Linked DNA regions of Danio rerio. The protein of the gene in region 2 interacts with the protein of the main gene of each other region in a pairwise test. Links are inferred from orthologs where the notes say so. Each region holds a gene or a part of one and is shown on either strand. Other genes may lie near its edges. The genes, in order: psmg2 and psmg1.

Region 1 (4,509 bases), on a different chromosome or scaffold from region 2:
CTATGGAAGTCATTGGTTACCGGATTTCATCATTTTTCAAAACATCTTTTGTGTTCATCAGAAGAAAGAATCTCAAACAGTTTTGGAACAACAGGAAGATGAGTAATCGGCAGCAGAATTTTCACTTAAAAGTTTGCAAGAACTGGAAGCTACGAACATTTTTTTTTTGTATTATGACACAGCTCCTAGAGAAATAAAATAGTAAATGAGAAAACAGTAGGCGTGGCTTGTTTTTTTATACTGCGATCTGAATGGATGTAGTAAAGTAGGCATTTCATATAGAATGATTGAGAAAAAAGTTTCCGGAGAGATATTATAACCTAAAACAGAGTATATACAGGAATCAGGGATTGAAATTCAATGGCTTTTAAGACCTTTTTAAGACTTTCCATATATTTTATAACATTTTTATCATTATAGGTTTTAACCGGAAACACTAGCGAGATTTTAACTTACATTATATAAACGAAATATTAATGTATCCTAAATATTAATGTAAGAAACTAATCCAGACTAAAACATTATTCATATCCTGAATAAAAATCTATTAAATCTAGTGATTTAGCAGGTTGGCACCTAAAGAACTGCAGAAATAACGGTGTTGTCTTGGTTACTGCAGTAAACAAAGCAGAGTGACGTCAAATCTAGCAAGATTTAATTGATTTAATAAACTAAACAGCATCCTGATATTTGCAGATTTACTTCAGGCAAACTTTAGCATACAACCACACATCGCATAATCAAAAATTCAATCAAATTTAATACCTAAAAGCATTTAAGACTTTTTAAGTGCCTTAAATTTCTCTACATTGATTTATCAACTTTTAATACTTTTTAAGACTCCGTGAACACCCTGTAATACTCAGCCAAATCAACTTTTCTGTTTGTTGTCATAGTATGGTCAAAACTGACAGTTGGAGGGGCGTGGTTAAGCATGTTAGCCCCACCCAATACCTCAGACAGATGTAATCTGAGAATTTAACTGGAAGCAAACAGGAAGGGCATTTTTTTAGCTTTTAATTAAAGCTAAGGGCAAACATTTTTTCTTAATGACATGCGCAGATGTATTGTTCACCACAAAACTAGCAGTGTGAGCTAACAAAATCAATATGGTTAGTTTTGATTTCATGTGTACTGTAAAGGTCTAATAGCCATCCATTACCTTCTGCGCTGGTGCTGAGCTGAGCAGCATCTTCAGTGGATGAAGCGTATGGGTTGTTTCCAGCCATAGGAATGAGACAGTCTGTGTGGAAATATCCCACTCTGGGCATATTTAGCGTTGAGATGAGCAGATCCACGGCGAGCTGGCCCACATTTCCAACAGATACTGCAGGCTGTGAGAATATGAGGAATAACTGTCATATGGAGCTCCGTGTATTGGGGTCTCACATTGAGACTTTTTCCTTAGCATTATATTTTCAGAAAAGTTTTTTTTTTTTTTTTTGCAAAATATAAATAGGGAAATCATATTAATAACGTTAGTAGCCAAATACTATTAAACATTGTTAATCAAACAGTGCTGTTGTTGTTTTAAAGTCATACGTGCATGCATTCCTGACCAAATTTTGAAAGTAGCATGGTAAACAATACCAGGACCGTGTCACAAGTTGTCACAGAACTGTTGTGCGAGTATAAAACCAACTGTACCTAAATGCTCAGTGTTTGATAACTGCAGCTTACAGAAACCCGCATGTGTCATGATGATGAAGCTCAAATACTTACCAGTATCAAAGTAAAGCCTTTAAAAGAAGGAACGGCATCCCCCGATGAAATGAACATTTTAAAAACTGTTTATAACTGATTTCGCAGTGAAATGTGTACGAGTTTAAGTGGACCAGTACTGATTTTTACTTTCAATTTCCTGCGCTGTGAAAAAAGGACCTAACAATACTGCGTCATTCTCTCAGGACGCCCTGATGCCTGAGTAAAAAAAAACCTAAAGGAATTATTTGCGACGTGTAAGTTAAATATTTTTTGGAAGAAAAAAGGGCACATTTAAAGATATCTTACTCTTGATCTGACGTTAATATATCTTAATTTTGCCGTTATAATAATCTTTGCGATAAAAAAAAACATTTTAACATGTCAAAATAAAAGTCTTTAAACTAATTATAACAAAACGTCTATGCTCTTTGATTATATTAATTGCGATGATAGTGTTGATATATATATATATATATATATATATATATATATATATATATATATATATATATATAATTGTTAAATGTAAATTGATAAATTAATGTAAACATTGTTTCAATAAGTGAATCTGATGTGAAAGACTTTACTTTTGATTTTATTTTCAACTCGATATCATTAGTCTAAATAATACAGCTATACTAAAATTATATTTTAAAACGTACAACTTACTGTAGTTTATCGGTTGTTTACATGGATGATCAAAAGATGGCGCTAGACGCTAAAAATCTCACCGGCCTCTTGCTTGTGAGAGTTGCACCTCTTGCGTTCAGAGCCGCTTTTTTTCCTTCATATTCGACAAGGAATTGGAAATTTAGCATTTTGCTCAAAATGGACATGATACTCTCTCTCTCATTTACTGCAGCTTTGTCAGTTGTTCATCTATATATTAATCTGTCGTTCCAGTACAGCCAAATGCAGCTCTATTGGATTAGAAACTGGTGACTGTGGAGGCCGTTTGAGGATAAAATAATCACTGTCATGTTCAAGAAACACAGACTGAGATGATTTGAGCTTTGTAAGTAAGCTATCAAACAATGGGAACACTGTGGTAATAAATTGAAAAAAAAATTACTTGTGAGCAACAGAAGTAGGCTTAAATTATGCCTTAGTTGGGACCCAAGAATGTAAAAATAAAATATAAAAAACAAGACCAGCAGCCTGAACAATTGATATTAACAAGACAAGATGGATCCTTGTAGGGCTGCATGATATTAGAAAAATCTGACATTGCGATATTTTGTTTTTATACAATATATATTGTGATATGAATATAATTTCACCAGATGGATTGAATAGCTCTATTTTGAAGGAAATCATTCAGATTTTTTTTTTTGGGGGTGTGAACATTGTATAAAAAATAAACAAATTGAAAGCAAATAAAGACAATAAAGCAAAGCAAAAACCAGAGAGTCAAACAGTATTCAGGTACAGAAAATGGATGATGGAAAGTAAAATAATACTTTAGTCTTTGTTGTATTAATAATTCAGTAAACTCATTCTTCATTTCTCTTCATCAGTTACAAATGAGCTTTTTCTGTGCCCTAATGCAATCTTGAAATATCTTTAAAACACATGTTGTTCACACAAGAAAATATAAATGTACTCACCCCAAGTAGTTCAAAACCTTAATGATTTTCTTTCGTCTGCTGAACACTAATGAATATATTTTAAAGAAATCCGAAAACCTGTAACCTGTTGACTTTATTTGTAGAAAAAACAACTACCATGGTTGAGAGGTTCACAATCCATTGTGTTCAACCAAAGAAAGAAACCCAAATAGGTTTGGTCAAACTGAAGGGTGAATGAATGATGACAGAACTTAAAATTAACGCTTTAATGTTGAATAGTTCAATTACTGAACTTTTTTCCAATCTTCTGTCCATTTAGGAAGCCTGTGTGGATTGTCACTTCGGCTTCCACTTCTTAGGTGACAGGAGCAAGGTATTATAGATAATTATTCTAAAACAAATGTGTGAAAACTCCATTTCAGTAAACTTGAGATAAATCAGGGTGAATATGGTAATCAAACGCAATAAAGATACGGCGATGTGTATTTTTTCCAGGATTATTCAGAAATATGGTGTTTCACAGATATCAATAAGAAATCATTTCTGTCATCAGTTTCAGGCTTTCATAAAGTATTTAGTGCACTTGTAAAATATAATAGCTACTAGGCAAAACACTAACAACGTCAACACTTCACCAACACTTACAACATCTTATTCTTTGAATGCACTTTTAATACTAACAGGAGCCAATCTGTGGATTCAGTATTGAATATGTTCATGTGTATATACTACAGTAACCATGCAGCCACCTTGATGTCAAAAAACAACATAAAAAATGCAAATCGATTTGATGTCAAAATCTTGACGTTCATTTGACATCCAAACATTGATGCTTTTTTGACCACAAATAATGGCACAAAAAGTATTATAAAATAAGAGAAGTTTTGTTCATCCAAAAGCTTAAAGGGCACCTATGATGAAAATCCTCTTTTGTAAGCTGTTTGGACAGAACTTTGTGTGCGTTTAATGTGTCCACAGTCATATTGGGGTGATATAAAGACAATAAGTCTCTTTTTTTATTTCCTAACGTTAAAATCGGATCCAAATCCTTTTCATTTTGAGGTCCACCGCAACGTGACGTAGCAGTGCAGTTTCCCCACTCACCAATTTGATTGACAGCCTCATATTACCATGTCTCTGTAATCATCATCATTATTATTTTCATCCGCTTATCTGGGGCCGTGTTGCAAGGGCAGCAGTCTTAGGAGAAAACCTCAGACTTCCCTCTCCCTAGACA
Region 2 (4,381 bases):
GGCTCAGGACTGCACACACACACACACACACACACACGCACGCACGCACACACACACACACACACACACACGTTATGCATGACTACAGTATGGTGAAGTGAGCAGTACAGTAGTGTAATAATGCAGTATAGCGGTGTTGTACCTGCGGCTGCCAGTCCGCTGCAGATGTTGGGCTGCTCCAGCGGTGGACATGTGACGGTGTGTGTGTATGTGCTGGTCTTCAGACAGCGCAGGAATGGTGTGCTGCTCCCACTCAGGTAGTCTGATGTCTTATAATCAGCCGAGGAGCAGTCTGAGAGAATGGTGACGTTCAGATCCCTCGTCTGAACACATGAGAAGACCTGCACACACACACACACACACACACACACACACACACACACACACATACACACACACATACACACAGCAATGGGGAAGGGCTCGCAGACACACACACATACACACACACACACACACACACACACAGCAATGAGGAAGGGCTCGCAGACACACACACACACACACACACACACACACACACACACACACACAGCTCTGTATGAGGCCTCACCTTCTCTGTAAACTGGAAGAGCTGATCCTCTGCCACAAAACCCTGGCACTGGCAGATCAGCACCTGCGCGCACACACACACACACACACAATTACATTTAAAGCGACAGTCATCAAAACACCACAATGAGGATCACAGCCTGAAAGGGTCAGTTTCAGAAAGCTGGAGAACATCATCCGTGTGCTGTTTCCAGCTCACACACACACACACACACACACACACACACTGTGTACAGCTTGTATATAGTGGCAGAATAGCTCTCCTGTAGTGTATAGTGATGGTGCGCTCCTCACAGTGGGACAGCTCTCCAGCCGGTACAGCACACAGGAGGGCTCTCCGGGCCCTGGGACCACAGTCGGCCGCTCAGACCCACGGCTCCGCTCATTCCAGAAGGAGAGCCACGCCACGGCCGTCCATCCTACAGTGCTCAGCAGATACGCACGAATAAACCCTGCACAGACCACACACACACACACGCGCACACACACAGCAAAACATTATCTTTATTCATGGCGACACGGTGGCTCAGTGGTTATCACTGTGGCCTCACAGCAAGAAGGTCACTGCTTCGAGTCTCGGCTGGGTCAGTGTGTGTTTCTGTGTGGAGTTTGCATGTTCTCCCCGTGTTATCGTGGGTTTCCTCCGGGTGCTACGGTTTCCCCCACAGTCCAAACACATGCTCTGCTGTTGTTTGATGTAATGTTCAATAGTATAGTGCAGTATTTTAATCATGTATATGGTGTGTTTGCCTGCAGTCGTCTATCGGCACTGATATACTGTCGTTTACTCTCCTAAATGTCATCTATTCACATCTTACATGTCATGTTTTATCTTAATCTAATTTTTCCAAATGTTGAATATCGCAGTACTACATTATATTTATTTATCATACATTAAATTAAGATCAAATCCTGCAGTGGGAATCGCCATGTCATCTTTCACTGAATCTTTCATTTAACACAGTCATTCAGTCATTCAGTGACTCACTGTGAATCTCCCCAAACATAAAATCACATGTTGAACTTCATACAAAAACAAAAATATTTTCTTTATTTTCAAAAGGTAACTAATAAGAAAGATAAATTACTAGGAGAGTAATTACTACACAACTACACAATTCTATTTCCAAGCACTTTTTTAACCGCTGAAAACAGAACATTGAAATTAATACATTTTCAAGGACACACACACACACACACACACACACACACACACACACACACACACACACACACACACATCTGCGGTGTCTAGAGTACAGGAGTGAGGTCTCACCGCTGGCGTTCGGCCCCGCGCCAATGATCAGATCTGAACACTGCAGGGGCCCATCCTGAGAGCCCAAGAGCCAGCACACCTCCACTGACCTGGAGGAACACAACACAATACCTGTAACACAATATATCTACACACACCCTACACACACACACTACACAATACATACAACACAACACTGAATATTAACTCAATCTACACACACACACACACACACACACACAAACACACATAAACAAAACTGAACACTAGAGCTGTAACACTGAGGTAAAGTTGGTTTTATATTCACACATTCATTAATTTAACGGTCTCTATATCGTTTACCACACTCATATGAATATTTAATCAGAATTAGCATACAAGTATGAGTTCAAAACAACATCAACACTATATAACTGACTGTAAACATGGCTGTACTTTAGTCTTTGACTGCTAATCTGATCTCCCAATTTAGATTTAGCAAAGAACACTTTTCTGAAAATAAATGATTAAGCAGAATGTCTGAATATCCCAATATCAAACCAACTTTACCTCTGTCTGAATGAGCTGAGCTTGAGTGTTGTTGAGTCAGTAAATGAGAATAATCCAGCATGTTGAAGTGCAGAGTGTGTTTATTTACCACAGTGTGGTTTTGGTCAGTAAATACGGCTAACTGTGTGATGTGGTGCTGTTGCTGTGATAGAAACAGGACATTAAGTATCGCTAAACGCCATAGAGGATCACTGTAACACAGCGATGATGAAGATGATGATGAAGAGAGACACGTGATGAGTCACAGACCCGCGCTGCTGAAGTGAAAGTGAAAGCGTCCTGCGTTTCTCTTATAAAGTGCTGATATTGACTGCAGTCACAGGTTTGATCAGATAATCAGTAAATATGATGAGCATGTCACCTCTTCTCCTCTATTTCGCGGCGGATCTGCTCATCTTCCTCGTTTTCATTCGTCATGTCTTCATACTCATCCTCTTCCACAGCTCGAGAATACACTGATAACACCTCGCCGAAGAATGTCGCCATATTACACTGATAATCAAGCTAATTTATTAATAAAACTCACAGGCGGGGTGTAATGAGCAACACTACGCGATGCTTCTTCTTCTTCTTCGTCGTTAGGTTTTAAGGGCAGCTGGCATCCTGTTTGTTGCATTACTGCCCCCTTCTGGACTCCTTTCAGTTTTCCCTCAGGAAATTCATCAAACACCTCCTTTCTGTTCTTCTGCTCATTCTAATAGACCTTTGAAACTTATTTCTGCATTTCTTAAACTTATCAGTTGAGTTACCATTTCTTGTCTCTCTTGTATAAATGCACTACATGACGTCCTCAACACATGCTCCTCTGTCTCATACACCTGAACAGGCTGTATTGGATCGGGAGTGAAGGTGTCTGAATGTAAAGAGGCTGAGGTGTTTATTTGTATGTTTATTAACTTCTATTGTGTCGAAACCACTAAAAGAGGCACTGATGTGATCATGTATGTGTTATATGGCTGTATGGTGCACAAAGCTTCGTGATTTTTCGAAATCTTATTATGTGTAACTGCACACGTTCTGTTGAGGAAAACAAGTGCGGAACGGCCACAAATACCATCATAAAATACTGATTATATTACAAATACATACAACATATTGGGGATACAACTGAACGTACAAATGGTTCTTTTTTAATGGTTAAAATATATATTTAAGGATCATGGAGTTAAAATCTGAACTCTGTCGGCGCTCTTTGTTTTGATTTCACGGAAGTGATGTACATGACACGTTCTTGTTGCCTACGTCATAGTGTTCATTGAATGTTTTCGCTAGTTTGTTTTAGATTATAATATATGAAGCTACAAAAGATAAACTGTCCAGAGTTTTACTTCAACCTGAGTTTACAAATTCTGATTATTGATTTCTGAAAAAGGCTAGTTTTAAGTAGTGCTTTTCCATTGGCTGTTCGACTGTCCCGTTGCATGATGGGAAGTGGTTCGCTGCAAAATGTCCTTATTCTGTTTTAAAAAATACATAAATAAGTACATAAATAAATATATAGATGAAGGGGTAATCTTTGCATCTACACACAGCGGGATTGTGCGGTTTGATCGCATTGGTTCACGTGTGGCGTAGTGAAGAGTCACCGCCATCAAGAAGGATGTTTCTGACGGTCAAGACCCTTCCGGTACTATAACGGAATCATACTTACCTGGCAGGGGCGATACCATGATCAGAAAGGTGGTTCACCCAGGGCGAGGATTAGCCATTGCACAAATCGGCTAGTTTGACCTCTGACAATTTCTCAAATGCAGGAATCTGTACTGCGTAATTTCTGGTAGTGGGGGACTGCGTTCGCGCTCTCCCCTCATCTCTCGGTCAACAATAGAATACAATATTAAAAGAATACAATATGATGAGCTCAAATGGGCACACTAATTGTCTGATACAATGACTGTAATAATTCAAAGAGTATCAGACTACAACCGAAACACTCTGTCAGACATCATTCCGACAATCACAGAATGTATTTTTCCCGTCCACAATATAACTTCTACACCCAAATATATATATATATTACAAATT

What was found.
Region 1: the proteins of psmg1 (region 2) and psmg2 interact in binary tests that used the Homo sapiens proteins (3 or more experiments, as listed by UniProt). The link is inferred for Danio rerio from reciprocal best matches to the Homo sapiens genes PSMG1 and PSMG2.

Annotation. Positions count from the first base shown.
Region 1 is NC_133194.1:13,452,128-13,456,636, reverse strand, and holds the start of psmg2 (proteasome assembly chaperone 2), read right to left. Parts: upstream 2,969-4,509; 5' UTR 2,374-2,968; intron 1,863-2,373; exon of another isoform or gene 1,780-1,862; coding exon of another isoform or gene 1,723-1,779; intron 1,335-1,722; coding exon of another isoform or gene 1,272-1,334; coding exon 1,163-1,271; intron 1-1,162. UniProt on the Homo sapiens protein: Chaperone protein which promotes assembly of the 20S proteasome as part of a heterodimer with PSMG1.
Region 2 is NC_133185.1:517,257-521,637, forward strand, and holds the start of psmg1 (proteasome assembly chaperone 1), read right to left. Parts: upstream 2,922-4,381; 5' UTR 2,843-2,921; coding exon 2,718-2,842; intron 1,918-2,717; coding exon 1,829-1,917; intron 1,005-1,828; coding exon 847-1,004; intron 617-846; coding exon 554-616; intron 342-553; coding exon 143-341; intron 10-142; coding exon 1-9. UniProt on the Homo sapiens protein: Chaperone protein which promotes assembly of the 20S proteasome as part of a heterodimer with PSMG2.